Elephas maximus indicus: one gene and its partners. The protein of the gene in region 1 interacts with the protein of each later gene in a pairwise test. Links are inferred from orthologs where the notes say so. Each region holds a gene or a part of one and is shown in the gene's direction. Other genes may lie near its edges.

What was found.
Region 2: the proteins of HOXA1 (region 1) and TRIP6 interact in a two-hybrid assay, tested with the Homo sapiens proteins (2 studies listed by BioGRID and IntAct). The two-hybrid records come from large-scale screens. The link is inferred for Elephas maximus indicus from reciprocal best matches to the Homo sapiens genes HOXA1 and TRIP6.
Region 3: the proteins of HOXA1 (region 1) and RGS17 interact in binary tests that used the Homo sapiens proteins (3 or more experiments, as listed by UniProt). The two-hybrid records come from large-scale screens. The link is inferred for Elephas maximus indicus from reciprocal best matches to the Homo sapiens genes HOXA1 and RGS17.
Region 4: the proteins of HOXA1 (region 1) and NELL2 interact in binary tests that used the Homo sapiens proteins (3 or more experiments, as listed by UniProt). The link is inferred for Elephas maximus indicus from reciprocal best matches to the Homo sapiens genes HOXA1 and NELL2.

What each region holds. Positions count from the first base shown.
Region 1 is NC_064826.1:88,263,932-88,271,275, reverse strand, and holds HOXA1 (homeobox protein Hox-A1), read left to right. Parts: upstream 1-4,465; 5' UTR 4,466-4,526; coding exon 4,527-5,172; intron 5,173-5,649; coding exon 5,650-6,005; 3' UTR 6,006-6,842; downstream 6,843-7,344. UniProt on the Homo sapiens protein: Sequence-specific transcription factor. Regulates multiple developmental processes including brainstem, inner and outer ear, abducens nerve and cardiovascular development and morphogenesis as well as cognition and behavior.
Region 2 is NC_064830.1:92,227,443-92,234,563, forward strand, and holds the start of TRIP6 (thyroid receptor-interacting protein 6), read left to right. Parts: upstream 1-4,116; 5' UTR 4,117-4,366; coding exon 4,367-4,475; intron 4,476-4,689; coding exon 4,690-4,817; intron 4,818-4,919; coding exon 4,920-5,045; intron 5,046-5,339; coding exon 5,340-5,723; intron 5,724-6,035; coding exon 6,036-6,129; intron 6,130-6,241; coding exon 6,242-6,411; intron 6,412-6,825; coding exon 6,826-7,004; intron 7,005-7,121. Other genes in the region: SLC12A9 (solute carrier family 12 member 9), read left to right, coding at 149-295, 2,574-3,457. UniProt on the Homo sapiens protein: Relays signals from the cell surface to the nucleus to weaken adherens junction and promote actin cytoskeleton reorganization and cell invasiveness. Involved in lysophosphatidic acid-induced cell adhesion and migration.
Region 3 is NC_064819.1:224,721,744-224,729,621, reverse strand, and holds the start of RGS17 (regulator of G-protein signaling 17), read left to right. Parts: upstream 1-4,873; 5' UTR 4,874-4,990; intron 4,991-7,878. UniProt on the Homo sapiens protein: Regulates G protein-coupled receptor signaling cascades, including signaling via muscarinic acetylcholine receptor CHRM2 and dopamine receptor DRD2.
Region 4 is NC_064822.1:99,697,169-99,704,781, reverse strand, and holds the start of NELL2 (protein kinase C-binding protein NELL2), read left to right. Parts: upstream 1-4,608; 5' UTR 4,609-4,842; intron 4,843-5,695; exon of another isoform or gene 5,696-5,973; intron 5,974-7,613. UniProt on the Homo sapiens protein: Plays multiple roles in neural tissues, regulates neuronal proliferation, survival, differentiation, polarization, as well as axon guidance and synaptic functions.

The sequences.
Region 1 (7,344 bases):
AGAAAGTGATCATATAATGGTATCTTCACTTTCTTTTTATTTTTGTATTACATTAGGATGCATTGTCATGCGTATTTTTGGTAGAATAAATTCTCCTTTGCTACAAGTAGCTTTCTATTTTTTTCTCCCCCTCTTTCTCATGGCTCATAATGGTTTCTTTTTCTTCTTTTTAGTCTAACTTGGTAAATAAAATTCTAGTCACAATTTATCTTCTTTTTCAATTTTAGTACGTTTATTAAGGGGCATGTTTAAAGTCTTCTTTAGACAGCATCAACAATAACAAAAGAAAGCCAGAATATGGCTACAGCTTCTGAGAAATGTTTTTTGTTTTGAAGGGAATAGATTTGGTTTCAGCGTAGAGGTTCTAGCCACAGATTTGAATGGGCAATAGAAACAGGATGGGGCAGAGAGAAGGGCCAAACTGAAGCTTTTCAAAGTGGAGAAATAAAGTGCCTACAGAAACCTCCCACTCCAGCAAAGAGGAACGTGGAGTTTCTTTAACAAGCTACCAGTCTCCAGGTCAATAACTAAGTTACCAGCAATTCATTTATTTGTACACGTTTGTTTAAAACATCTACATTCCAGCCCCTCCCCCACAACCCCCCCTCCCCACACACACATTTTCAGAGTGGTTGATTCCTCTCCCAGCTGTTGATGGGTTCAGGCAAACAGACCTAAAAACAAAAATACGACAAAACAATGGTTACTAGCTAGAAAGCGCACTGCAGAAAGTGTTCTTTTCAATCCTCTGGTTCTGTCATTCTAGTATTCTTTTTTTTCAGGGTCAGAAAAATCAATATTTCATTCTTCAACCTGTTTACATTGCAAATAATGGATCATTAAAGCTTTGAAGCCAGGTTAGCAAGTCGAGATTTAAAACGGAGTGTGTTTCTGCACTCTAGGTTATGAATTAACCCAATTTCTAGAGAACGAAAAAATAAGCACTTTAAATGGTACATCAATAAAATATGATCTAGGGTGTGTTATTGGGCTGCTCTTTTTTTTTTTCTTCCCCTTTCTTACATGTTCCCATGTTTATTTTTTCCTTTCTGAGCTCTGTTCTGCAGGCTACTTACTTACCGTGAGAAAATGTAGCGTGTAAGCAACATGTGTGGTGCCGGTTGATTTACCAACCCGGCTTTTAAATGCAAAGGCTTGGAAGTTACAATGAAATCGCGATTTTTCTCCAACCATTTGCTCCCCACTTTCCCCCCGCCCCTTTACCCCCTAAATTCCGGCAGCGGCGGGGTTGTGTGGAGATTGCGCCGGGTTTCCGGGCCCCAGACGCGGCGCGGAGCAGGGCGGCTCAGCCCCGGCCAGGGCTGCGCGGCGGCTGGATGCGATTCGTCCTATGCTCATAAATCAACCGCTTTCTATGAATGAGAATGTCATCAAAGAGATCAATTGCAGGAACACATGCACAAATAAAAATCCTCTTACGTATTTGCCGGGGATCCCCGTCCGAAAGCATTAAGTTAGAAGGCGTTTAGTCATAATTCATTTTTATTGCTCTTTTAAAACAACAGCTTGGCTGAGCCGCGGATGCCCTGAACAGCTCCGGGCCTCGGCGGCGTTTTGTTTCCTCCTCGCTCCTTCCCTGTATAGTAGAAGAGCCCTGAAAGAGGTGCTTTGAGCCCAGGGAACCTACTGTGGGAGATTATTTTAATCGTGACCAAGCTCGCCTTTCACCCACTCCTCCCGGGCGTTTCAAAGACATTAGCTCGAGGCTGGGCGCTGGCCTGCGAGCCCAGAGGGCCAAGCGTTTCCAATCCTGTAGACCGGGTCCCAGAATTTCTTGGAGGGGGTGGGGAGGTAGGGAAGGAACCGAGCTACGGAAGCCTACGGGCTTGAGGCCAGGGGAGGCTGCCTTTGGGAGCCGCCCGGGGAGAGCGGCGCTCCCGGCGGCCGGCAGAGGAGGAGCCCGCTCGGCTTAGAGAGCCCGGCCTACCGGAGCTGAGCGCAGAGAAGGGATGGTCACCGGCCCGTGTGTCTGCAGGCCTGTGTGCGAGTGTACGCTTCTGACCCTAAGGAAAGGAAGAAAAACAAACCCACCCAGGCTGTCCCCGAAAAGAAGCTAGGAGAGAAGAAGAGAGGTGGAGAGAGAGGAGCACGGAGGCCTGGTTGCTAGAAAAGGAGGATGCGTGACTGTGGCCGAGGGCGGCTTTGTAACTGGCACCATGCGACGGAGGGGTTCGCGAACGCTCGGCCGGAGGAGGCCAACGGAAGTATAGAAATGAGGCCGGGGGGAGAACGTACTGAGGAGCTTAGGCCTGAAGAGCAGATCGCCCGCACAGCCAGCACAGATCCTCCCTCCCCCTTCCCCAAGGGGCGCCTTCTCTCGCCATTCCCCTGAAGGCCTGGCGCTCTGAAGGAAGCCGCTTCCAGGAGGGTCGCCCTGCCTACTCCCTTCTACTGGAGGAGGTTCCCCAAGAGCTGCATCTGGAGCGAGTTCCCCGGGAGCTGAATCTTACCTTTCCTGCCTGTGCCCCCTCTTAACTACACATGGGAAAGGGTCAAAGATCACTGAGAAATACCATTTCAAAAGGAAGTGTTTGGGGGAAAAACGTCTCTTTGCTACGAGGAGTTCAGAGCCAAAGGTCTGCATGGGTTTTCCTTCTTGGGGAGGCAGGTTTTTTTGCGGGGGGGGGGCGGAGTCTCTATATTTGAAGAACAGAACACAGAAGCCTGAAAAGGTGACTAACACCTTTGAAATGTACCTACCTCAACCAAACTTAGTTCTTTTAAACTGGGGGAGGGGAAGCAAGAGGAGAGTGGGAAACGCAAACCCACATGTAATCCTCACAAAAAAATTCATCTGTCGGATTTGATGTTGTAAACATAGAGTAAAATCTATAGGGCATTGGTTGCAAAACTTCTTGCATGGTCTCTAGATTTCTTCTACCTAAGAATGCATCAGTTCTCGGCCTCGGTTTGGCCTTTTCTCTCCACTAGCCCAGGGGTGTCGCCAAACCTAATAGTAAACACCAATTAACGACCCCATCAGCATCAGAGTAGGACGAGGGTGATGGAGAACAGGACCCCTGGCCCGAGATGACGCTCAGATTTGCACGCGTCTCTCTAGGGAAAGACTAGATGGCTAATACAAGCAGCTACGCAGTCAGTTGGAAAGGGGAGGAGATGGTGCTGGGGAAGAGGCAAGTGTCCAGTCCACCATCAGCCATCTGTCTACCGCCTCTCCCACCTGCCAGCCCCCACCCCTGACGTGCAGTAGAATGTAGGGGGCGGGTAAAGGAGGCTCTCCCACTCCTAATATTTTCCTTCCAAAAAAGAGGAAGGTGGCGGGTGGGGGGGGGGATGTTTTCTTGGAGCTGTGGTTCTCCCGCCCTTTGAGGCTCCCGCCCGGGCACGCAGACTCCTGGGTCCTGGGGAGCCCGCAGATGGCCTGCAGCGCGCGGCCCGACCACCACGCTGGCTACGTCCGCTAGCGTCATCTCTTTCCCCCGCCTCCTACGCCTCAAAATCTAGTGGCAGAGTTGCTGGGTTTCCCGGAGGGCTCCCGGAGCAAAGCTGAGTGGGGAGGAGAAAGGGGCGGAGAGCGAGGAGAGAGAAAGGGCGGAGAAGAGCCCCGCCACCCTAGGCCTTTTCCTGCAAACTCGGCAGCAAGCGCTCACCCGCCCCTGGGCGTCGAATTACCGAAGCTCCTCATTGCCATGCTAATGGCGAGGGTGTGGGGCCGGAAGGCCGCTACGGCGACCGGGGAAGGGGGAGTTTCTTTTCTTGCCCCCATCCCCTCCACGCTCACCCCGGGTTCCTCCCAATCAGCTCTCTGCTCACTTCCCTCTCTGCTTGGAGCTTGGAGATCCGATGGCCCAGTTTCGCCTCCGCCATCGTTCTCAGCGCTCCTCCCGGCCCCAAGGTCCCACAGCAGGGACAGTACAGTGAAAACGCTAGGAGATCCTGGGGCGCGGCTCCGGCCCAGTGCCTACCCTTCCGGCTCCGAGCGCTTCGCTCTGGGCCCGCGTACCTGCGGCCGCCCGGCGAGTTCCAGCCCACTGATTCCCGACCCGAGAGAGCGGGAGCCCTTTCGCCTTCTCACCTCTTGCCAGTTCATCTTCCTGTGCACGACGGGGAGGGGCACGGAGCGGGGAATGCCCCCCAGCCCCCACCTCCAGGACGGGGGGCGAGCGGAGTTGGGCGTGCGCTGAAGACAGCCGCCCCCCTTAGCCCCAGCGCTCCGAATCCGCTGTTTGCAGACACCGCAGCTGCTGCCGCCGCCTGGGCTGCCTGGGGGGGCGATTGCGCGTCACCTAGGCGGAGGAGCGCCGGGGATTTAAATGCCACTGAAACGGTGATCCATCACTGCTGGAGCCTGCAAAATTTCGCAGGAGGCTCAGCCATTGGCTGACATAGTCACGTGCCCCTCCCCTTGCTCCCTCGGCCCTCCCGCCGCCCCCCCTCCCGCTCACTGTACATTCATATCATTTTTCTTCTCTGGCCCCATGGAGGAAGTGAGAAAGTTGGCACGATCACCCAGGGCGTCGCAGGATCCAGTCACTCAGTGACAGATGGACAATGCAAGAATGAGCTCCTTCCTGGAATACCCCATCCTCAGCGGTGGTGATTCGGGGACCTGCTCAGGGCGAGCCTACCCCTCGGACCATGGGATTACAACTTTCCAGTCGTGCGCGGTCAGTGCCAACAGCTGCGGCGGCGACGACCGCTTCCTAGTAGGCCGGGGGGTGCAGATCAGCCCACCCCACCACCACCACCACCACCACCACCCCCAGCCGGCCACCTACCAGACTTCTGGGAACCTGGGGGTGTCCTACTCCCACTCGAGTTGTAGTACAAGCTACGGCGCACAGAACTTTGGCGCGCCTTACAGCCCCTACGCATTAAATCAGGAAGCAGACGTAAGTGGTGGGTACCCCCCGTGCGCTCCCGCTGTTTACTCTGGAAATCTTTCATCTCCCATGGTCCAGCATCATCACCACCACCAGGGTTATGCTGGGGGCGCAGTGGGCTCGCCTCAGTACATTCACCATTCATATGGACAGGAGCACCAGAGCCTGGCCTTGGCCACGTATAATAACTCCTTGTCCCCTCTCCACGCCAGCCACCAAGAAGCCTGTCGCTCCCCTGCGTCGGAGACATCTTCTCCAGCGCAGACCTTTGACTGGATGAAAGTCAAAAGAAACCCTCCCAAAACAGGTCAGTCCTAGTCTACTGCCAGCCGATGGATGCTCCTTGATGATACTACAAGGGGTTGGTATGCTTAATTCTCAAGGAAAGTTAATAACGGTCTTAAAAAAAAAAAAAAAGTTCTTGCTTAACACCGGTGTTGTGGGGCAGGAGATTGCCCAGGTGTGTTGGGGCACGGAAGCTTCTGGGACGGATGCGTTTTCAAAGGGACTGAGTTTGAGAGGTTCTGGAAGTAGCAAGTGAATGAGTGTGGGTTCTGTTAATATCTCAGGTTCCATTAATCACGGGGTCTGACCAAACTGATGGTTGACTTCAGGTTAACGCCTCACATCTCATCACTCACCCTCCCCAGCCCGTTTTGTGCCCACAAGTTCTTCATCTCTCCTTTACCTGAATGTTGCTCTGAAGCGTGTAGGGGATAAATGTCCCTCATGTCGATTTAATTTTCTTACCTTTTTCTCTCGTCGCATTCCATCCTGACCCCAGGGAAAGTTGGGGAGTACGGCTACGTGGGTCAACCTAATGCGGTCCGTACCAATTTCACGACGAAACAACTCACGGAGCTGGAGAAGGAGTTCCACTTCAACAAGTACCTGACGCGAGCTCGCAGGGTGGAGATCGCCGCGTCCTTGCAGCTCAACGAGACCCAAGTGAAGATCTGGTTCCAGAACCGCCGAATGAAGCAGAAGAAACGGGAGAAGGAGGGCCTCTTACCCATCTCTCCGGCCACCCCGCCGGGAAGCGATGAGAAAGCCGAGGAATCCTCAGAGAAGTCCAGCTCCTCACCCTGCGTTCCTTCCCCGGGGTCTTCTACCTCAGACACTCTGACTACCTCCCACTGAGGGCACCCCAGCCCCAGACTCTGTAGTCCAGGTTTCTCCTTGGGCTGGGACTTCTAACCCAAAGCACATTCTTAGCTTACCTTCCTTTCCAGTTCCAGTCTCTCTCTTCCTTTCTGGTCCTATATGGGGAGCTTCTGGCCAGGTTAATGTGTTTCTAGAGCATTCTAGACCAGAGACTTTGTGGGGGGTTAACTTCTTAATCCAGATCGGGTGCCAGCATCAATTTTCTGATGGCCCTTAACAGTTCTACCCACTTTTCTATTTTTACAGAACCTACTGTTCTTTTGGATCCCCTTTGGAAAATAGTTCCCTTTGCCAGCAGAAACATGTCAGAGGACAGCCTCTCATCTTTTACTTATCTGTATATTTAGTCCTCCCCTACCCTGATCTTAAAGGTAGGCTATATATATATATACACACACACACACACAGAGTCTAGGAGCTCATGAAGAAGAGATGCACTATGAGCATGTTTACACAATTCATCCCTTAATTTAATTCAATTTCATGTGTGTGAGTTTGCTGGTTGTAAATACTTTGTCCTGAGAGATTTATCTTTATACAAATTTTCTAGAAATGTTTGGATTAAGTGACTATAACAGGGTGGGCAAACTCAAAGCTGGTACAATTTTATATGTGGTTATAGGTAAAAGAATACATTCTCATTTAAACCCAATCAGATGCTTCAGAGAGTAGCCTCAATTCATTTTCAGTGAGTTAAGAAGGTCTGCCTACAGAGCACAAGGTTCAGAAACCTGGCTTCCTGTGCTGTCTCCCCATCCCTTCCCCTTCTTGTTTCACTGGCCGCCCCCCTCCACTTAAAATTTGTGCTGGATTATTCTGAACCTAAAGGTATTCAAACCAGCTTCTTCCTTTCGCAGTTATCTTAGCTGGATATGATGTATTTTCAGCTTAGTTGTTAACGTGATGGATGGCTCAATGAATGTATATTTTGTGTGATTCGTGAATCGTCTTTTGCATGTCACACAATGTTTTGATTTCCCTGAAGTACCACACTGAGTTCTGTCAGTTTTTTGTGAGCCTGTGGTACTCCCCATTTCCTGTACAATCATGAACAGCTCTGAGATTCTGAAGTGATGTGATCAGAGCAGAGTTACGGGTCTTAAGATGTCTGTAATAAATATATTGAAGTTTCAGGTATGCTTAAGCATCAGTGTATTTGCCTGGGCTATAATTTGTTAATTCCTACAAACTGGATTCATTTCATGTAGTGAGAGAGAGAAGGGTGGTATGTTTTTTCCAAGAAGTTGTCCTTTTCTTGAATAAAAATGAATGCTTCCCACTATCATGTAGCTGAAGCTTCTCCCATGAGTGTAAT
Region 2 (7,121 bases), on another chromosome or scaffold:
CCCAGACATACTTCTTTCCAGATGACCTACCCACCCTGCCACAGCCTGCCTGGACCTTTTTCTTCTGCTCATTTGGGATTTGGAGTCTGGGAATAAGTAAAGGGGTTTGGCCACATGGGCTGCCTTCCTTTGCCTACCTTCTCCACAGACTCCCTGCCCTCGGACCCTGTGCAGCCGCAGTATGGGGCATGGCTGAGCCTGGTGGACCGGGCCCAAGTGAAGGCCTTTGTGGACCTCACCCTCTCTCCCTCCGTGCGCCAGGGGGCTCAGCATCTGCTGCGTATCTCAGGCCTTGGTGAGCTGCTTCCTCTCTGTTTCCTCCAGCTCCCTTTGTGGACCCGTTAAATCTCCACTCCCCTCTCCCAGAGAGTAAATCACAAATTGCAAACTCTAAAAGGAACTCAGAATCTAGTGCAGATAAGATGCAGTGCTCAAAGATAACAACCACGCTGATGGTGGTATATGATAAGGCCTAGTAGAAGATGCTGAGCGTTAGAGATGGGGTGATACTTTTTTTTTCCTGAACCAAGAATCGGGGCCCAGGCTTTGATGAGTCTGTTGTACTTCTAGGGGCAAGAGAAGAGTAATTATTTGGGTCTGGGGCTGCCCTATCAAATCTAGGGCAGATGGTTTCTAAGCACCAGAGTTCAGAGAAACAAATGCTGCTACGCACTGATATGGCCCGTAAAGTTTTTGTGAAGAGATGGTACCTCAGCCAGGCCTTGAATGGGCTGGAGAAGTGGGGAGCATTGCAACGTGGGCCGGAGACCACAGAGCACAGAGGATGCCAAGGGCATGGGGAAGGTTCCCAAGCTTTGTGAGTGTGTCTTAATGCTGAGGCCTCTAGCCTTGGGCTGCACATTCCTCCAAATTTGTGCTCAATATCTGTGGCCACCTTTTCCATTTAGGATCTGATGTCCGACAGTGCTGGACATTGCTTTGCTCAGTGCACATCAGAAAATGCTCAGGAGGGGATGTCTAGTTTCATCTGCAGTAGGGTGGGGGGAGGTGCATCGTTAGATAGCCCAGGGGCATCTGAGAGTCTGGTCTTTCCTCTGCCCCACCCTTGTAGGAAACCTGCAAAGAGGCTATTAAACCAAAAAAAAAAAAAAAAAAAAACCAAACTCATTGCTGTCAAGTTGATTACGACTCATGGCGACCCTATACGACAAAGTAGAAGTGCCCATAGGGTTTCCAAGGAGCGGCTGGTGGATTTGAACTGCCGAGCTTTTGGTTAGCAGCCAGATGTTTAAACCACCGCGCCACCAGGGCTCCAAGAGGTCACTACTTTCAGGAAATGTATCTTGATTCAAGTAAAAGGGAAAGGATTTCCTCTAGGTAGTGCATTCTCCTGGCGCGTAGAATTTGATTCACTGGTAGGTTTTTTGCAGCCCGTTTGTTTCATGAGGAGGAGTTTTGGAAGTGGTTTCAGAGCCTTCTGAAAATGCAGCCCTGTGAAAGGGAGGGATTATCACATTCCACATTGACTGTGGAAGTAGTACAAAACAGGGAGCTGTTGGCAGGGACTTGGGACGTTGTGGTTCGCATGCACACTGGCTTGGTGCTAGGCTGCCGCGTTCATGTGCTGGCCCCGGTACCTACGAGAGCAGGGAGACTTCGGCAATGTTACTTTCCTGCTCTGTGCTTCAGGTTCCTTATGTGTAAAATGGAAGAATAAGTGTTACCTACCTCACAACGTTGTTTCAAGGATTAAATGAGTTAAAACCAGGGTTCCAATGGGTCAGTTTTGTTGGGTGGGGGGTTCTGCCCCCTGCTGAGAATTTGCATTTCTAACCTATTCCCAGGCTGTTCTAATGCTGCTGGTTAGGGACCAGTTCGGAGAACCACTAGCAGAGCAGTGGTTCTCAAGATTTATTATATGTAAGAGTCACCTGGGGATCTTGTTAAACCATAGATTCTGATTCAGTATACCTGGGGTGGAATTATTTGCATGGCCTGGGAACTTGTTAGAAATGCAAATTTTCAGCAGAGGTTCAGGAAAAAAAAAAAAAAACAGCAAAAATCCCCTAACCTGTTCAAAGCCAGTGCTTTCAACAGGACCTGGGGCCTTGTAAGTTCCTTCAGGAATGGTGCTGTGAACGTAACATTCCGAGGCTTTGCAGGAGTAGGAACAGGCTGTGAAGCCTAGCTCGTCTCATGTCATAGCAGGATCTGAGGTGCTTTCCCTGGGGATTGAGGCCATGAACTTGACTAATCAGGGTGTCAGACTCTCCCATCATGAAAAAGGTGTGCTGCTTAAAAATGCGGAATAAACAGGTTCCTACTTCCCATGGCCCTGAAGTGCGTATTCTCCAAGTGAGGCGAGCTTTGACTATTTAAAGGAGGAGGTTAGTGATGAAGATAAGTGGATAAATGCATGTGAAAGTGTTTAGGAAAACGAAAAAGTCATTATGCAAATATACATAATGCCAGGAGAACCCACACACAGTGTAAATGTAATACTTAATGGCTGACACACTAATTGTCAGTGTGTCCGTGGGCGCATCCTTGTGTGGTAGAAGCTCAATCTGTGAGTCTGATTCCTGTCTGTTCTTTCCTGCCTCTGCTCCCAGGTGGCATGAAGCCCAACACATTGGTCCTGGGTTTCTACGATGATGCCCCACCTCAGGACCATTTCCTGACAGACCCAGCTTTCTCGGAGCCTACTGATGGCACTAGGGAGGGGGGGCCTCCAGCCCTGAGCACCTTGTTCTCTCCACCTCGGGCTCCTGGGAGCCCCCGGGCTCTCAGTCCCCAGGACTATGTGGCCACCGTAGCGGATGCCCTCAAGATGAACAAGAACGTGGTTCTGGCTCGGGCCTGTGGAGCCCTGCCCCCTGAGCGGCTGAGCCGGGGGTCTGGGGGCACTTCTCAGCCACACCACATGGACGTGTGGCCCCTCAACTTGCTGCGGCCTCGGGGTGGGCCCGGCTATGTGGACGTCTGTGGCCTCTTCCTGCTGCAGATGGCAACCATTTTGGGCATGGTGCCTGCTTGGCACAGTGCTCGTCTCCGGATTTTCCTGTGCTTGGGGCCTCAGGAGGCCCCTGGGGCGGCTGAGGAGCGGCTCCGGGCACTGCTGAGCCAGCTGAGGATCCGGGCTGAAGTGCAGGAAGTGGTATGGGGCGAGGGGGCTGGCATCAGAGAGCTGGAAGAGGAAGGGTACTTTGAGAACAGCGGGTGGGGAGATGCTGAGGCAGAGGCGCTGGCATGCAGCGCCAACGCCCTGATTCGGGCCCAGCAGGGGCGCAGCAGAAGTGGAGGGCCTGGTGGGCCGGAGGGTGGGGATGAGGAGGAGGGACCTGCCACTGCCCTGACCTTCCTGTACCTGCCTCGGCCACCCGCTGATCCTGCCCGATACCTCCGATACCTGGCGTTGCTGGAGATCCTGAGCCGTGACCTGGGCCCCACGCTACTCATTCATGGTGTCACTCCTGTCACATGCACTGATCTCTGATGCCTAATGGAGCCCCATTCCTGATGGTGGGTAGAAAGGGCCCACCCAGGCTCAGCAACCCCTCTTGATTAGTGGATGTCGAGGAGAGGAAGCACCTCTTTCCACTTGCCCTGCACTTGGGGCTGGAGCCCAGTGGAGATGTCAAGGGATTCTGGGCGGGCCAACTCCTTTCCCATTGTGAGTGGGACCCCATGTACTAACGTAGGGCAGCTCTGCATCCCAGTCTCCACTGTGGGGGGGGCAGTCAGCAGCCCCCCTTCCCTTCACTGGTGCCTTGTTGGGAGGGGCTGGCTCTCCTCTTGCGACTCTAGGCTACCTCAGTCTCCCTCTCATCGCTGACAGGCTCACTGACCCCTGAGGTTGTGATGTGTTCGTTCTGTTTTATTTTTCTAACTCTGCTGAACGTAAATAAAAGATCAACAAACTACATGCTGGTTGAGCACTGCCCGGCAGCAGGGGAATGGGAGGTGGGTCGACAAGAAAGCCATGTGCCCTTGGGAAAGGGAGAAGCATTTATCGGCATGTGGAAAACAGGGGTGCCGGAGCTGTCCCGACAGCGAGGTTGCCACGTGCAGGACTTGGGGGCGCGGAGCCAGTGGCAGCAAGGGGTGTGGGGCTGGGGGATTCGGGCGACCTGGAGGCAGCCAACGCGGGATCCAGGACACCACTCCCCGCCCCGCAGGAGGGGCCAACTCTGGGAGGGTTGGTGGTTTTGGGCCTAGGGGGCCACGTGACCCTCCCCCAGGAATGTGGTGACATCATCAGGGGCGTGGTCATCCCCAAAATTGGGAAGGAAGGGAGAAAAAAAAAAGGAAGAAAAAGTTTCTTTCCTGGAGTTCCAAACGAGGTGCAGGAAGAGAGGATCAAGGCCAGAGATCCGGGGCTCTGAGGGGTCCCCCGCTCCAGGCCATGTCGGAGCCCACCTGGCTCCCCCCGAAGCAGCCGGAGTCCTCCAGAGCTCCTCAGGGGAGAGTGTTCCCTCGAGGGCCCCCAGGGCCACCGGTGGCCCACGGAGCAGGTAAGGCAGCCCCGGTGCGGTGCGGCCGTAGGGGCCGCCGGTTGCCCAGCGCTCGCCTCTTCCCTCCACTCTTGCCCCCTCCCCCAAGCGGGCTGGGAGGTCCTGCCTGCCCCCATTCTCAGACCCCAGGTGGAGGAGGAGGGAAAGGCGGGGCCCTCTTGGCGCCCCTCGTCTTCTCCATCCCTACCTTTGGTCTCTCTTCCCCTCAACCCAGCACTCCAGCCCCACCCCAGAGTCAATTTTTGCCCCCTCCCATCTGAGCAGTGTTACCAGGCCGGAGGGGGACCAGAGGATCGGGGGCCAGCCTGGGGGGGGTCCCATGGAGCACCCCAGCGCCCGCAGGTGAATACTGGAAGTGGGGGGCATGAGTCGAGTGTGAATGGGACCCGGGGAGGCAGAGGAGACGTTGTGATTTGCATCTCCCTGCTTTTGCTCCATCTCCAGGGGCTCCCCCTAGATAGAGGGAGCTTGGGCCCAGGAAGTCTGGATGCTGAGATAGATTCGCTGACCAGCATGCTGGCTGAGCTGGATGGGGGTCGTGGTCACGTGCCAAGGCGACCAGACCGACAGGTGACTCCTCCCCTTCCCTAACCCTGCTTACTGTCCCCTGCTTCCCACACCTCCAGCCTGCTCCCTTCCCTGGATTGATTCTCAGTCTGAATTCCACCCACCTCCGTCCTACTCCTGTGTGAGAGATGTACGCCCAGCATGAAGAAGCCTGGGCCAGAGAGCTTACTAGGTAGTCAGCCACCTGAGGGCAGTGTCTCCTCAAAAGTTGCCCATCTTGGGGCCACACGTGGGGTTTCCACAGATGTGTGACCTGGAATGGGCCTTCCTTACTCTTTGTGGTCTCTTTCTCCCCAGGCTTATGAGCCCCTTCAGCCCCCTGCCTACCGCACGGGCTCCCTGAAGCCGAACGGAGGGGGTGTTCCATCCCTGCAGCTCCCAGCATCCCCCTATGGAGGTCCCACTCCGGCCTCCTATGCTACTGCCAGCACCCCTGCTGGCCCTGCCTTCCCTGTGCAGGTGAAGGTGGCACAACCAGTGAGAGGCTGTGGCCCACCCAGGCGGGGGGCCTCTCAGGCTTCTAGGCCCCTCCTGGGGCCCCACTTTCCTCTTCCCAGCCGAGGTGAAGTCTGGGGGGCTGGCTATAGGAGCCACCGGGAGCCAGGGCCAGGGGGTAAAGAGGAGGCTGCCAGGGTCCCTGGCCCTGCAGGAGGAGGAAGAGGAGGCAGGTACGGGTCCCAGGTAGGTCCACGGCACTGGGATTTTATAGACAACTGGATATTGAGTGGGTGGGGTGAGGATGGTGTTTAATGTCCTGGTTTTAGAGCAGAGTCACAGGTCGGGGATGTCAGAGCTCTGGATTCCCAAAGGGTGTGGGGGAGGCCAGAGAGGGGGTAGAGCACTGGTGTCTCCTCGAGGCTCTCCCCTGGGTCCTGGGCTGAGCTGCTCTCAAATGGGCTTTCTGGGTTGAATCGCATGTCATGTCACACACAGGGATTTTTATAGTGCCAGAAGTCCAGAGGTAAGACCAAACCCCTGATTCCCACCTCCCAGGTCCCCCTGAGCCAGCCTCCAGAGGAGGAGCTTGAGAGGCTGACCAAGAAGCTGGTGCATGACATGAATCACCCACCCAGCGGGGAGTACTTTGGTGAGCTGCCTCTGCAGTGTGGGAGCATGGGGAGGTGATACTGGAGAGGCAGAGGATGTGGGGGTCTGGCTTCTGGGTCTGTGTAGATTGACCTTTTCCCCACTATCCCTAGGCCGGTGTGGGGGTTGCGGAGAAGATGTGGTGGGGGATGGGGCCGGAGTGGTCGCCCTTGACCGAGTCTTCCATGTTGGCTGCTTTGTCTGTTCTACGTGCCGGGCCCAGCTTCAGGGCCAGCATTTCTATGCTGTGGAGAGGAGGGCGTACTGTGAGAGCTGCTATGTGGTAAGTGGTTCGGGCTGGGTGGCTGGAGTCAGCAGCTGGAGATAGGTGGGAGCCAGATGGCCAGCCCCAAAAAGGAAAAGGACTCAAAGTTGGAGAACTAGAACCTGTTGGAGGGGGAAGACAATGGTTCCTTACAAGTGTGAAGCATTTTAGAGTTAAGGGAATAAATTAAATCCCCACATTAGCCCTGTGAGGCAGGTATTATCGTTGATGACATTTTTACTGGAGACTGTAGCTTAGAGGGGTTAAATGACTTGTCCAGTAAGTTGTAGTGCTGGGACTTGAACTCATCCTCTCAGGTCCACCTTTCACTGAATCACATGCAGGAGGCTAGGTAAATAGATGGGTAGGCTGGCAGGATGCCTGAAGGGCTACCATGGGGTCCCCTGACCTTCCTGCTCCCCTTCCCAACAGGCCACCCTGGAGAAGTGCTCCATGTGCTCCCAGCCCATCCTGGACCGGATCCTTCGGGCTATGGGGAAGGCCTACCACCCTGGCTGTTTCACCTGTGTGGTGTGTCACCGTGGCCTCGATGGCATCCCCTTCACGGTGGATGCCACCAGCCAGATCCACTGCATTGAGGACTTCCACAGGTCAGCATGATAACCCTTTCCATCTCCCTCACCTCTGTTTCATGCCCCAGTATCGATTACTCCTGTTTCCAACCCTGGACCTGCCTCCTTCTCTTTGGTATACCTCTCTTCCCCAGT
Region 3 (7,878 bases), on another chromosome or scaffold:
GAGAGCAGAGATGTAAATCCAACCACCTACGGTCACCTGATCATCGACAAGGGCCCAAAGTCCATCGAACAGGGAAAACACAGTCTTTTTAACAAATGCTGCTGGCAAAGCTGGATGTTCATCTGCAAAAAAATAAACAGGACCCACACCTCACACCATACACAAAAACTAATTCAAAATGAACCAAAGACTTAAATATAAAATCAAAAACTATAAAGATTATAGAAGAAAAAAATAGGATCAAAACTAAAGGCTCTAATACATGGCATTAAGAGGATATAAACCATAAGTAATGACACACAAACTCCAGAAGATAAGCTAGATAACTGGTATCCCCTAAAAATTAAACACTGATGCTCATCAAAAGACTTCACCAAAAGAGTAAATAAAGAACCTACAGACTAGGAAAGAATTTTCGGCTGCGACAAATCTGACAAAGGTCTAATCTCTCAAATCTACAGGGAAATTCAACACCTCTACAACAAAAAGACAATCCATTTGAAAAATGGGCAAAGGAAATGAACAGACACTTCACCAAAGAAGACATGCAGGTGGCCAAAAGACACATGAGGAAATGCTCTCAATCACTAGCCATTGGAGAAATGCAAGTCAAAACCAGAGTGAGATACCATCTCACACTGTCATTACCAGTACGAATCAAAAAGACAGAAAATAATAAATGTTGGAAAGGCTGCAGGGAGATTGGAACTCTTATGCACTGCTGGTGGGAATGCAAAATGGTACAACCATTTTGGAAGACAATATGGTGCTTCCTTAGAAAGCTAGAAATAGAAATACCATAGGATCCAGCAATCCCACACTTAAGAATATATCGTAGAGAGATAAGAGCCCTCACACGAATACACATATGTGCACCCATGTCTGACATGTTCACTGCAGCATTGTGCACAATAGCAAACAGATGGAAACAACCTAGATGCCCATCAACAGACGGATGGATAAACAAACTATGGTTTGATAAACACAATGAAGTAATACGCAACAATAAAGAACAATGATGAATCTGGAAAGCATCTCTCAGCGTGGCTGAATCTGGAGGGCATTATCCTGACTGAAATACTTCAATTACAAAAGGACAAATATTGTATGAGACCACTACTATAAAAACTCATGAAAAGTTTACACACAAAAAGAAACAATCTTTAATGGTTATGAGGGAGAAGAGCGGTGGGGACGGAAAACCACTAGACAATAGATTAGTGGTTACTTTGGTGAAGAGTAAGGCAGTACACATGGAAACACTGGTGGTGTAGTGGTTAAGAGCTATGGCTGCTAATCAAAAGTTGGCAGTTCCAATCCACCAGGTGCCCCTTGGAAACCGTATGGGGCAATTCTACTCTGTCCTATAGAGTCTCTATGGGTTGGAATCAACTCAACGGCAATGGTTTTTTTTTTTTTTTTGCCTTTTTTTTTTTAAGGCAGTACTTTTTTTTTTTTTTTACACAATACTGGGGAAGCCAGCACAACTTTTACAAGGCAAAGTCATGGAACCTCCATAGGCACATAGCATCTGGGGTCTTAAAAGCTTGTAGGCGGCCATCTAAAATACTCCACTGGTCTCATCCTGTTGAAAACAATGGAGAATGAATAAAATGAAAGACACATGGGAAAGATTAGTCCAAAAGACTAAAGGATCACAACTACCACAGCCTCCAGCAGAGTGAGTTCAGCACTAGATAGTGCCCAGCTACCACCACTGACTGCTCTGACAGGAATCACAATATAGGGTCCCAGAGAGAGCTGCAGAAAAATGTAGAACAATATTCTAACTCACAAAAAAACAACCAGACTTACTGGCCTGACAGAGACTGGAGAAACCCTGAGAGTATGGTCCCCGGACAACCTTTTAGCTAGTGATGAAGTCACTCCTCAGATTCACCCTTCAGTCAAAGATTAGACAGGCCCAGAAAACAAAACGAGACTAAAGGGGCAAACCAGCCCAGGGGCAAGGATTAGAAGGCAGGAGGGGACAGAAAATCTGGTAACAGGGAACACAGGTCGAGAAAGAATGTTGTGGGGCTGGTAACGAATGTCACAAAACACTATGTGTACTAATTGTTTAATGAGAAGCTAGTTCTGTAAACCTTCATCTAAAATACAACATTAATAATAAAAAAAAAACTATTCAAGCCTTGAGTTGCAATTTTGAAGGATTCAATGGGGAAAATATTAAATGAAGCAGAAAGCATCAAAAGAAGATGGAAGAATACAGAGAGTCACTGTACCAAAAAGAATTGGTTGACATTCAACCATTTCAGGAGGTAGCATATGATCAAGAACCGATAGTATTGCAGGAAGAAGTCCAAGCTGCACTGAAGACACTGGCAAAAAGCAAGACTCCAGGAACTGACAGAATACTACTTGAGATGTTTCAATAAAGAGACACGGTGCTGGAGGTTCTTGTTCCCCTATGCCAAGAAATTTGGAAGACAGCTACCTGGCCAACCTACTGGAAGAAATCCATATTCATGCCTATTCCAAAGAAAGGTGATCCAACAGAATGTGGAAATGACAGAATAATATAATTACTATCACATGTAATGAAAATTTTGCTGAAGATAATTCAAAAACGGTTTCAGCAGTACATTGACAGGAACTGCCAGAAATTCAAGCCGGATTCAGAAGGGGATGTGGAACAAGGGATATTGTTGCTGATGTCAGATGGATCTTGGCTGAAAGCAGAGAAAACCAGAAAGATGTTTACCTGTGTTTTATTGACTATGCAAAAGGCATCATAACAAATATGGATAACATGCATAGACCAAGAGCCACTTGTTGGAATAGAACAAGGCGATACCGTGTGGTTTAAAATCAATAAAGGTGTACGTCAGGTTTGTATCCTTTCACCATACTTATTCAATCTATATGCTGAGCAAATAATCAGAGAAAGTGGACTATATGAAGAAGAACGGGGCATCAAGATTGAAGGAAGACTCGTTAACAACCTGTGATATGCAGATGATGCAACCTTGCTTGCTGAAAGCGAAGAGGATTTGAAACACTGATGAAGATCAAAGATTACGGCCTTCAGTATGGATTACAACTCAGTGTAATGAAAACAAAAATCCTTACAACTGTACCAGTAAACAACATCACTATAAACAGAGAGATGATTGAAATTTTCAAGGATTTCATTTTACTTGGATTCACAATCAATGACCATGGAAGCAGCAGCCAAAAAATCAAATGACGTGTTGCATTAGGAATATCTGCTGCAAAAGATCTCTTTAATGTGTTAAAAAGCAAAGATATCACGTCAATGACTAAAGTGCACCTGTCCCAAGCCATGGTATTTTCAATTTTCTCATATGTATTTGAAAGCCGGACACGGGTAAGGAAGACTAAAAAAGAATGGATATTCTTGAATTATGGTGCTGGCGAAGAATATTGAATATATCATGGACTGCCAGAAGAATGAACAAATCTGTCTTCAAAGAACTACAGCCAGAATGCTCCTTAGAAGTGAGGATGGCCAGACCTTGTCTCAGGTACTCTGGACATGTTATTAGGAGAGATCAGTCCCTGGAGAAAGACATCATGCTTGGTAAAGTAGATGGTCAGCAAAAAAGAGGAAGACCCTCGATGAGATGGATTGACACAGTAGCTGCAACGATGGGCTCAACATGGCAACCTCTTGTGAGGATGGAGCAGGTCCGGGCAGTGTTTCCTTCTTTTGTTGATAGGGTTGCTATGAGTCAGAACTGACTTGATGTTGATGGCGCCTCACAATAACAACGGTGAACATTTGCAGACCAGCACCAGTCAGGGGAATATACTGTAAAAAGCACTAGTATTCAAAAGTCAAGGATGTTGCTAGAGAAGAAATGAGTCAAGTAGAAGGTGAGAGAGGGAAGGTTGGTTAGCAAAGGAGCCTGACATAATGATAAAAATGTCTGACTATATGAGCATGCAAGCAACGGAAATCATGTATACTTACAAGTAATCTGCTTTAAAAAGGGATGAGAAAAAAGCCTAATCATTCCTGCCAGGAACTCACTCCTCTTCCCACAGAGATCATATCGGATGAGAAAGACACCCGTTTCCTAATTCTTCCTTCCGAACACTTCAATCTAATCATCTAATCTAGCGCTCATGATGCATTAAAGTGTCTGAACGCTCCTTTGCTACCATGCTGGGCCCCGCTTGTGACTAGAACAATTATCAGATCTGATAGCTACCAAGCTGTTCCCAAAGGATGCCCAAGGCCCCAAGTATCCGCACTTCTGTTAATCATTTACCCACGGTTTCGCCCACTCAAATCTCTCGCTGCCGTGGTGCAGACGCCTGAGCCAGCAAATATGCCCCAGACCAGAGTCACCCGAGCGCTCTGAAATAATTCTTGGGGACAAGGGTCCTATTTCTGGATGACGAAGCCAATAAAGTAAAGGACCCTCGATAAAGCAAAACTTGCTTCACTTTGCACGTTCTAGAACTCCACACGGGGAAAGCTTCCACGCGGAGCCCGGTGCTGCGCCCGGTTCGCTCCTTTTCAGCGTTCTCCTACAGCCCAGCATAAAAGAACGTGGGCTGCGGGTGAACGCGAAGGTGCAGGAGCCCCCGCACCAGGTCCCGGTGCCCCCGCGCCCCGCAGACCGCGCGCCCTGCCCGGAGCCCCGCCGAGCCCTCCGCACAGTGGGCGCGGCCATGCGGGCGCGGGGCCGGGCCGCGGGCGGGAGGGCGGGGCCGTGACTCAGGCAGCGCCGGGGCGGCAGCGGCCCCTCCAGCGGCGCCGGGCGGGAGGCTGCGCCCGCGGCGGGACGCATGCGCGCTGCCGAGCGGCGCCCGCTCCCTCCCGCCCGCCCACCCTCCTCCTCTCCCCGCCCCCGCCTCCATCCTCGCCTGGCTGCCTCTCGTCGCCGGCTGGGTGCTGAAGTTGGGCGGATGGCAGCGCACCAGCGCCGCTAGAGGACCGAGCCGCCCGCCCGCGCCCCCGGACCGCTCGGTGCGCTGCCCACCCTCCAGGCACTGGGTAAGAGGTGGCCGTGCAGGCTGAGCCGTGCTAACTGTGTGACAGCAAAATGTCTGCTTAGGCTGAGGGGTGCGTGTGTGCCCGCGGGGAGGAGGATGGAGGACAGAGGACAGAGGGGGCGGAGAGCGCTGCCCTGCCCGCGGGGCGCCTGCGGGCCGGAGTCCCCGCGGGGAGCTGCTCGGGGAAGTTGGAGCCGCGGGGCTGCCCAGCCGCTCCGCTCGCCGCCCTGCAGCTGCGGCCGGGGGTGACCGATGTCCGGCGGCGGAGGGAGGGCGCCCTGGGGGGTCCCCGGCGCCCGCGAAGAGCGGCGCCCGGGGCCAAGGCGGGGAGCGCTGGGCGGGGGCGGGCCTGGGGGCGCCGGGTCCTGCGGGGGAGGGGGCGTTTGTGATCGTTTGGTTCGGAAGCCGACTGTGGAATTCAGGTTTTTAGCGACCCATCTCCTTCGGGTAATACCTTCTCTCCCTTACCTTTCTTTGCCTTTGGGAAAATGCACTATTCAGGTGAGGAAGGTGTAAGCCGGGGAAGGGTTTGCAAAAATGAGTACCTTTAGCAGCGATCAAGTGTGTGTGTGTGTGTGTGTATCGAGGCTCGGGGTCTCTTTTGTTCCTTCCCCTCCTCGTAGTCACAGGAAAGGGAGTTCTGGTGTGGGTTCATGGGGTCGATTGCACAGCCAGCGAGGGGGCGAGGAGGAGGAGGAACGCCCACCAGCCCTCGAACCGCTGCCGGGGTGGGTGTATCGGAAGCACCCTCACTGTGGGTGATGGGGATTCTTCTTCTTATTGATGGAATCGGTTTAATAGCTGCCTCCTCGCCAGCCTTCTCCTCCTTTGCCTTTTCCTGGGCTGCGGCAGAGGCGGGGTGCAGATATTGCTCCTCTTCTCTCTACCTCCCGATCTCCCTGAAAAATGTCGGAGGACTTGAGGATGGCGGAGGGAACGAGCTGGCCACGCAAGCCACGGATCGGGAGATGCTCCCAGCGAGCGGGAGGTGACAGGCAGCGCGCCCGGGTAGCCCGCTCCCGCCTTGGGAGTCCCTGGGCTCCCGGAGATGGGGCAGGGGTCGCCTGGCCAGAAAGATGCCCGCAGCTCGGGGACCCGCCCTTCGCCGCCATCCGGAGCCCGGGACACCGGCTCACCTGGTTTTGTCTAGTCGCTCCGGGAAGACGGACTCTGGCTCCAGGCATAGTTTCCCTAACCTCCCTGACCCTTCGCTAAATGCTTCCTTCTGTAAAAGCGTCGCTGGAAGGTTTGTCTAGAGAACTTTGCAAGCTTCCCATAGTTTTTTTTTTTTTTTTTTTTTTTACATTAAGATTCTTTCCATCCTGGAATAGCAATTAAAAAAATTTTTTTTAGATTACAAATAATAAAGAAAAAGCGTATAGTTCGGTTTCCATCTAGAATAAGCGTTTCTGAGTCGATGACATCTCCATTTCCGGTGTTATACGCACTGGTTTTCGGCGTGATACGCCGCTCTGAAAATCATTTAATTTAAGATAAATCATTTTTACTCTTGGAATTGAAAATAATTTTCTCCTGGATTCATAGCTGCTAGATACTTAGGTGGAAACCCTGGTGGCGTAGTGATTAAATCGTGCAGCTGCTAACCAAAAGGTTGGCAGTTTGAGTCCACCAGGCGCTCATTGCAGACTCTATGGTGCAGTTCTACTCCGTCCTACAGGGTCGATATGGGTCGGAATTGCCTCGATAGCAATGGGTTTTTGGTTAGATACTTAGGTGTATCAAGTAATTTTGAAAACTGGGAAACACTTGAAGTAATACAGGGTCGATATGGGTCGGAATTGCCTCAATGGCAATGGGTTTTTGGTTAGATACTTAGGTGTATCAAGTAATTTTGAAAACTGGGAAACACTTGAAGTAATTTGTATTTGTTTCTAAAGTCTTCTATAGGAATAGTAGTAGATGCCCATTATGGCACTAATACCTAATGAAAAAGTGATTTGTAGTCATTAATTCCAATGATTGAGAAGTTCAACCTTCTCCAGTTAAGTTACTGTTATTGAGTTATTTTTTCCGTTAGCATGAACTAAAGAAAAAATAATAATTAGCACACTCAAGGAAGAGTAGATTTATTCACTCTTTTTGTCATCTTGAAAAGTATATATAAGGCAGCTATGAAAAAGCAGTTAATTCCCAGTTTTCGGAAATGAGGAAACAAGTGTTTATCATTACAAAAAGACTGGGTGATATAATTTCTTAAATAAGATAAATCTCCATAGCAATGACACATGGTCCCAGAACCCTGGGCACTCATCCTTCCCCTGAAACTGTAGTCGGAAAGATTAAGAAAACCACCCAGTTTACAGAACAACAAAGTGTCGTTGTGCCAATTTCAACCATTTTTGTTCTGGTTCCTCAACTACTGTTTGGTGTTCAGTCCCCAGGTAAGGGAATTAACAGAGTTAATTTGCAGGTCCTGCTTAGTTCTAAGTCACCTAGCTTTTCCTTCTCAAATAGGTATCTCATTAGGTTTAAGAATATTCTTGCTGGATATTAATTTGCTTGAACTCATAATGTTGAAGGTCTAAGTCCATTATTACTCCTGTGGACTTCTTATACTTTTGCATTATCATCATAATAATGAAATAATAGTCTTCCTTGATATTTCCTACCACTACGACTAGGGGCTTTGAAGAAAGGGATAAATAAATATTCTTAGCCATTTGGCCTCATGATAACAATCTAATAAAAAAAGATCTAAAGCTAAATTGATAAAATTCTGGCTGACTCATAGGCTAAAGAGTAAGAAAGCATCTACCTGTCAATCCACAACTGTAGAGATAATGGCTTTCAGACTGGAAGTCCATTAACTGAAGCACATAGGCTTTTCTGGAAAAATGGAAGGTGGGCATAGGTGATGAGGCATGGAGC
Region 4 (7,613 bases), on another chromosome or scaffold:
CAATGTGGCAAATTCTGCTATTTTACATACATTTAGACACAGTGCTTCTTTTTGTGCAAATACACTAGTACATCATTTGGATTATTTTTCGTAGCAATACTGAGAAACATCTTATTAAATAAATTTTTCTTCTTTAACTAATTCATTAATTTACAAATCAACAAGAATAGAAAATTAAGTTGAGAGATGTAGAATCTTTAGGAGAAGAAACGAGAGAGAGTCTATAATTCTTTAAGATGAGTATGGGTGCCCATCTTTCACAACGCATTTCTAATAAGGACTAAATTCTACAGTAATATCTGTACGCACCTTTTAGTATTCCTTTCAATTCTTGGGCCACTAATTAATCCCTACACACGGCCCTTGTCTCCATCTTGCTATCCTGGAAATACATACCCTGGGTCATGAAGGGTTCTAGAGGAGAAAACAGGTGGATCAGTGGAAATCCATCATTATAAAAGGGGGGAAATAAAAGGAAAGAAGAAACTCAACTCCAAAATTCCAAGCACTGTCCTGCCATAAAGAGACTTGACAAAATCACCACATCAATTTCACATTAACTACTTTCTTGATTAGAGGATGGAGAACTCTCTTCTAATAGTTGTTTTTGTGTATCTCTGGATTTTTTTTTCTTGAGAAGAATATTAAACTAATTGGAAATTAATGGAATTAATTGGCAGCAATGTTCTTCTCTTGGGGTGAACCTCTTTCTGTAGCCACATTCTCCATTAGGAATCTGAATGCTAGTTTAGTGTCTCCAGACAATTACTTAACTCTCATAAAAATATGCAGCCTCAACTATTTGGTCTGTTGAGACCCGTCAGGGAGAGAAACTTCTGAGTGGCAATTGAGTTTCAGTATCAAGTGGGATTGGAATCATTAAACAGGGAGCATTCTGTACATGGTGTTAGAAGTAGAGACCAACACCAGGGAAAGAGACTCATGGGTTACTTGGGTGGGCTGGTCCTTCCAACTGCATGTCCTCGCCACCCTGCTGATTTTGGTGACTGCAATTCAGGATGAAGCTTTCAGCCTCGTGTGGAACCAAAGGTACTAGGCATGCTGATGAAAGTTGCATTTAAAGATATTGGCTACACTTGGTTGTGGCTGTTGCTGTTAGGTGCCGTCTAGTTGGTTCTGGATCACAGTGACTCTACGTACAACAGAATAAAACACTGCCCTGTGCTGTGCCATCCTCACAATTGTTGCTATGTTCGAGCCTAGTGTTGCAGCCACTGATGTCAATCCATCTTATTGAGGGGCTTCTTCTTTTTTGCTGACTCTGTACTTTACCAAGCATGTCCTTCTCCAGGGACTGATTCCTCCTGATAACACTCCCAAAGTACATGAGATAAAGTATCACCATTCTTGCTTCTAAGGAACATTCTGGCTGTACTTCTTCCCACACAGATTTGTTTGTTGTTTTGGCAGTCTACGGTATATACAAAATTCTTCACCAACACCATGATTCAAAGGCATCGATTCTTCTTCAGTCTTCCTTATTTGCTGTCCAGCTTTCGTATGCATATGAGGCAATTGAAAATACCATGGCTTGGGTCAGGCACACCTTAGTCCTCAAAATGACATCTTTGCTTTTTAACACTTTAAAGAGGTCTTTTGCAGCAGATTTACCCGGTGCCACGTATCGTTTGATTTCTTGACTGCTGCTTCCATGGGCTTTGACTGTGGATCCAAGTAAAATGAAATCCTTGACAATTTCAATATTTTCTTCGTTTATCATGATGTTCCTTACTGGTCCAGTTATGATGATTTTTGTTTTCTTTATGTTGAGGTGTAATCCATACTGAAGGCTGTAGGCTTTGATCTTCAGCGGTAAGTGCTTCAAGTCCTCTTCACTTTTAGCAAGCAAGGTTGTGTCACCTGCATATCACAGGTTGTTAATGAGTTCTTCCTCCAATTCTGGTGCCATGTTCTTTTTCATGTAGTCCAGCTTCTCAGATTATTTGCTCAGCATACAGATTGAATAAGGATGGGGAAAGGATACAACCCTGATGCACACATTTCCTGACTTTAAACCATGAAGTATCCCCTTGTTCTGTTTGAATAACTGCCTCTTGGTCTATATACAGGATCCTCATGAGCACAATTAAGTGTTCTGGAATTCCCATTCTTTGCAATGTTATCCATAGTTTGTTATGATCCACACAGTCCAATGCCTTTGCATAGTCAGTAAAACACAGGTAAACATCTTCCTGGTATTCTCTGCTTTCAGCCAGGTTCCATCTGACATCAAAAATGATACCCTTAGTTCCATGTCCTCTTTGGAATTGGGCTTGAATTTCTGGCAGATGTACTGCTGCAACTGTTTTTGAATTATCTTCAGCAAAATTTTACTTGCATGTGATGTGGATATTTTTAGATAATTTCTGCATTCTGTTGGATCACCTTTCTTTGAAATGGGCACAAAAATATGGATCTCTTCTAGTCAGTTGGCCAGGTAGCCATCTTCCAAATTTCTTGGCATAGATGAGTGAGCATGTCCAATGTTGCATTCGTTTGTTGAAACATCACAATTGGTATTCTGCCAATTCCTGGAGCCTTGTTTTTCACCAATGCCTTCAGTGCAGCTTGGACTTCTTTCTTCAATACCATCGGTTCTTAATCATATGCTGCCTCCTGAAATGGTTGAACATCAACCAATCCTTTTTGGTTCAATGACTATGTGTATTTCTTTTGATGCTTCCTGTGCCATTCAATATTTTGCCTACAGAATCCTTCAGTATTGCAACTTGAGGCTTGAATTTTTTTCTTCAGTTCTTTCAGCTTGAGAAATACCGAGCATACTCTTCCCTTTTGGTTTTCTAACTCCAGTCTTTGCACATTTCATTATAATACTTTACTTTGTCTTCTCCAGCCACCCTTTGAAACTTCTGTTCAGCTCTTTTACTTCATCATTTCCTCCATTTGTTTTAGCTACTTGACATTCAAGAGCAAGTTTCAGAGTCTCTTCTGATATCCATTTTGGCCTTTTCTTTCTTTCTTGTCTTTTTAATGATCTTTTGCTTTCTTCATGTATGATGTCTTGATGTCATCCCACAACTCATTTGGTCTTCAGTCTTTAGCATTCAGTGTGTCAGATTTGGAAACCCTGGTGGCATAGTGTTTAAGTGCTACGGCTGCTTACCAAAGGGTCGGCAGTTTGAATCTGCGAGGTGCTCCTTGGAAACTCTATGGGGCAGTTTTACTCTGTCCTATAGGGTCACTATGAGTCAGAATCGACTCGACGGCACTGGGTTTGATTTTTTTGTGTGTGTGTGTCAGATCTTTTCTTGAGATGGTCTCTAAATTTAGGTGGGATATACTCCAAGGTTGTATTTTGGCTGGTGGCACACATGGTTGGGGATTAGAAAGGGAGACATCAGGCTGCTGTTCATGAGAATACTTAAAAATCTATGCCCTAAGTACAAAACATGGCCAGTTTGGGAGCAGTAGACTTTTCTGGGAACCTCATACTTTACCAGGTTTGGTTGGTTCTTACTGATCTGAAGTCTGGGTGGATCTTGACAGAGAGGCCAGGTTTTATTAAAGGTAGTAAGTAGTAGCAATGAATGATGCCACCCAAAGTCTCAGAGATTCCAATTGTATTAGGTTAAATAAAAATAATGAAAACAAGCACCAAAAACCCTAAACCAAACCCGTTGCTCTCAAGTCGATTCCAACTTGAAGCAACCCTATAGGACAGAGTAGAACTGCCCCATAGGGTTTTGAAAGAGTGGCTCGTGGATTTGAACTGTCAGCCTTTTAGTTAGCAGCCAAGTTCTTAATCACTGTACCACTAGGGCTCCACTGCTCTACCAGGACTCCTAAAACAAGCACAACTTCTTTTTATTGAAAACACAGTATTTTTGAAGCAATATCTATACCAAACACTTTACATTTTCCAAATAAGGAAACTAAAGCTTAGAGGAGTTAAATATATTATTTACTCATCATCTGGTGCTAGTAAACAGCAAAGCTGGAATTTGAATACAAGTCTGTCTCATTCCAAAGTTTGTACTGGCTTTATTATTTTATCATTCTGACACATAACCTTTGTCCCTTGAGGGCAACATGCTCCCTTGGATATATGTCAAAAACTAGAAACTTCTAGGTAGGATAATCTTTCTCTAACAAACATGCGAGGCATCAGTGACCCAGAAGACATCTTCACATAGCTCTAAATAACTGAAGTCCATCTGGTATATCCATTAAAAAAAAAAAAAAAGTTTTCGTCAAGTCATCTCAGACTTGTGGCAACGCCACGTGTATCAGAGTAGAACTGTTTTCTGTAGGGTTTTCAATGGCTGAGTTTGAGGAAGTAGATTGCCAGACCTTTTTCCCCAGGCGCCTGTGGGTGGACTGAACCTCCCGGCTTTCGGTTAGGTTAGCAGCCGGATATGAACTTCATCACCTCGCTGGAGCTGTTTCCTTCCTCGATCACCCAGAGGGCAGCCTGCGGCAACGATCCCCCTGAGCCCTCTAGTGGTCCACGCGGGAATCAGCGTTACTAGGAACATTCTCAAAGCCGGGCCGGTGTTGCCCAGGGAAGCAAGGCTGTGTGACACCGCCTAGAGTCACCCTCATAGCTTCCCTTTAGGTGCTCCTGGGGCATGTCCACCACACTGCTCCAACTCAAGATGACTTCTCAAACCTGTCAAGTGTGCACTCTTGGATGCTACAGGGTAGATTGTATCACTAAGTTTCAGGAAGAAGCAAATACAGGTATCTAGAGGACGTGGCAGCAAGTCCAAAATATATTTTTGTATGTCCCTCAAAATGCACAGGGTAGTTTTTTTAAGTTGACCCCCAGAAGCAGCTCTGGATATCTTATACTTACCCAAGGTAAATACTTAAATAACTCTAGTAACAACCTTAGGTTACGAGGGGATAGTATAAGTATGATATTCTGGGATGTTTACGGTTGTTTTTGTAGGGTATTTTAAAATAATATTGGCAAATGATACATTGTCTAATGCAGGAATACTATCAGTTTTTTTTCATGATTTTTATATAATCATGATGACATGACATATTACAATAGTTTCCCTGTTATTAGTTTAATATAGTAACTATAACTGTAGGTTATTCTTATTTTGGAATATAAATATATAAGTCTATTTAAATATACATATATTTTAACATGTGTATTTCAGATATCAAATGTAGACAGCAAGTATATATTCTACTGCCTCTACTGCAGTTTTATTGACATTATTATATTATCTAAAATAGACCAATTTATTTTGAAAAAAATAGTTGCTGTTTTAAAGTAATTTCAAGAGAAAAGACTATCAGTATATTTTCATGGAAAAAAATATAGATTGTTAATAAAATAGGAAATAACATTTTCATTTGGCATATTCTGTTAAAAGCTACCCTGTCAACCACTTAACTTACAGACAAATCAAAGCAAATTTGATTTGTTGAGAAAATATTTACAGGGTTTTTCAGTACCGTGTTAAATGCTATAGAAAATATAAATAGGACTATGACTTGATTCCTATCCTCAAGATTCTGGGGGAGAAGTAAAGACAAGTATCTAAATACCTTGTAATGAAGACAAAAGTGGAATCCTATCATCTCAGCAAAACAAAAACAAACTAATAATCCCAGAAATAAAAAAGAGAGAAAGATTACAACTTAAATAGTGCTGGCAGTATTGCCCACCTTTCCTTTCAATGATTGCCTGGAGTGAGCGTGACAGGAGTAATATGAATCTGTGATTCCCTCGGTTTATCTCTGTTCCGGGTACCTCTCAAGTGCAAGCATGTTACTCAGCTGAGTGTTATTCTAATTTTTAAAGATATGCGTATATGCATTTTTCATATAAAATGGACCCTAAAAGCAAGCCAACTACTTCATCTGGTGCTCAACCAAAGAAACAGGAATCTGTTCCAATGCTGGAGGAAAAACTGGCTGTGTCCAACCAACTCGGGGTCTCCAGTGGAGAGCCTTTCGAAGGAATTTTCCAGGGTAATATTCATTATTCATGATTTTCTCATTTTTAATTTTAGAATCTGAGTAGTGTAACACTATTGTAAGATAAATAAGGATTGTAAGAATGTCATCATATTGTATTTTGGAAGATTAATTTGATAATAATATTTTGCATGAACTGGAAGGATAAATTAGAGACAGAGAAGCAATTAACAAGCTATTATGTGTTGAACTGGAGAATGTTTTGTTGTGTATTATTTTCACCACAATTTAAAAAAAAAAAAGCTGTTATGGAAAAGGAGCCTGGGTGGCTCAGTGATTAAGAGCTCGGCTGCTAACCAAAAGGTCGGTGGTTGGAATCCACCAGTCACTCCTTGGAAACTCTACAGGGCAGCTCTACTCTGTCCTATCCCTATAGGTTGTTATGAGGTGAAATCGACTTGAGGGCAACAGGTTACAGGGTATTATGGAAAAAAAAAACAAAAAAAAAACAAAAAAAATATGCTGTTATGTCTGTAGAGGTGAATAAGAGGGTAATGATTGTCTGACCTGGGGTGGAGGTAGAATAAGTTAACCTTTTACAATTGACTAGGATGGGTTAAAAATAGAGGTTTTAAGTTTGGGTGATAATGAGATTAGAGACACCTTTAATCAGAATTAAGGAAATCAGGAGAAGAACTGGTTTTGGTCAGGAAGATGAGTGTTTTTTAGGTGGAGCGCAAGGTGACTGTGGGACATCCAAGTAGAGATGTTCATTAAGGGGTTGGAACTGTACGAAGACGGTCGAGGTATGTTGTGTTTAGGAATGGCAGTTGAAATCATAAGAGTAGAGAAGATGTCTTATAGAAAGAAGAACTAAACCAGTTAATTCTGACTCACAGTGACCCCATGTGTTTCAGAGTAGAACTGCCCTCCGTAGGGTTTTCTTGGCTGTGACCTTTTGTAAGCAGATTGCCAGGCCTTTTTTCTGAGGCTTCTCTGGGTGGATTCAAACTGCCAACCTTTCAGTTAGTAGCTGAGTGCTTAACTGTTTGTGCCACCCAGAGACTCCATATAGAAAAAAGACAGAAACCTAAGTGTAGGTTTTTGGGGATTACCTGCCTTTGGAAGGTGGAGAAAGAAAAGAAGCCTCCAAGGGGGCCAAAGATGGAACATTTAGAATCAATATTCAGGGCAAGGGAATTTTAAAAAGAGAGAAATGTTGCTGAAAGTTCAAGAATTATATAGAAAATAATGAACTAACTTTGGAGGTACAAGGAAGAAAAGAACATAATAGGAGAATAAGAGAAGAGAAAACTTTTAAAGAAGGACAGGGATGTGATAATTTCAGGAAGGAGAGATAGCAAATGATTTTAAGTGTTGCTGAAATTCCAAGGAGGGATGGAAACGGAATTTGGAGAATTAGGAGTTTAAATCCAAAACTAGCTTATAGGGTCTACCAGAGAATTTTTTTCCTGGTTTATAAATTTGTGTAAGACTAACCAATGTATTAAAAAAAAGCTCATATTTAGTTATATAGTTAATTCTGTATATACTCAAAACAAAAGTATAGGAAATGGGTTTTCTCACAGATGACCATCAAAGTCATCATTTGTGACCATATAAAAAAAGTGTGGATCAAAGACAGGTTGCAAGCCAACGAATGAATTGAAGTATAGGCTTTGCTTTTGAGAAGT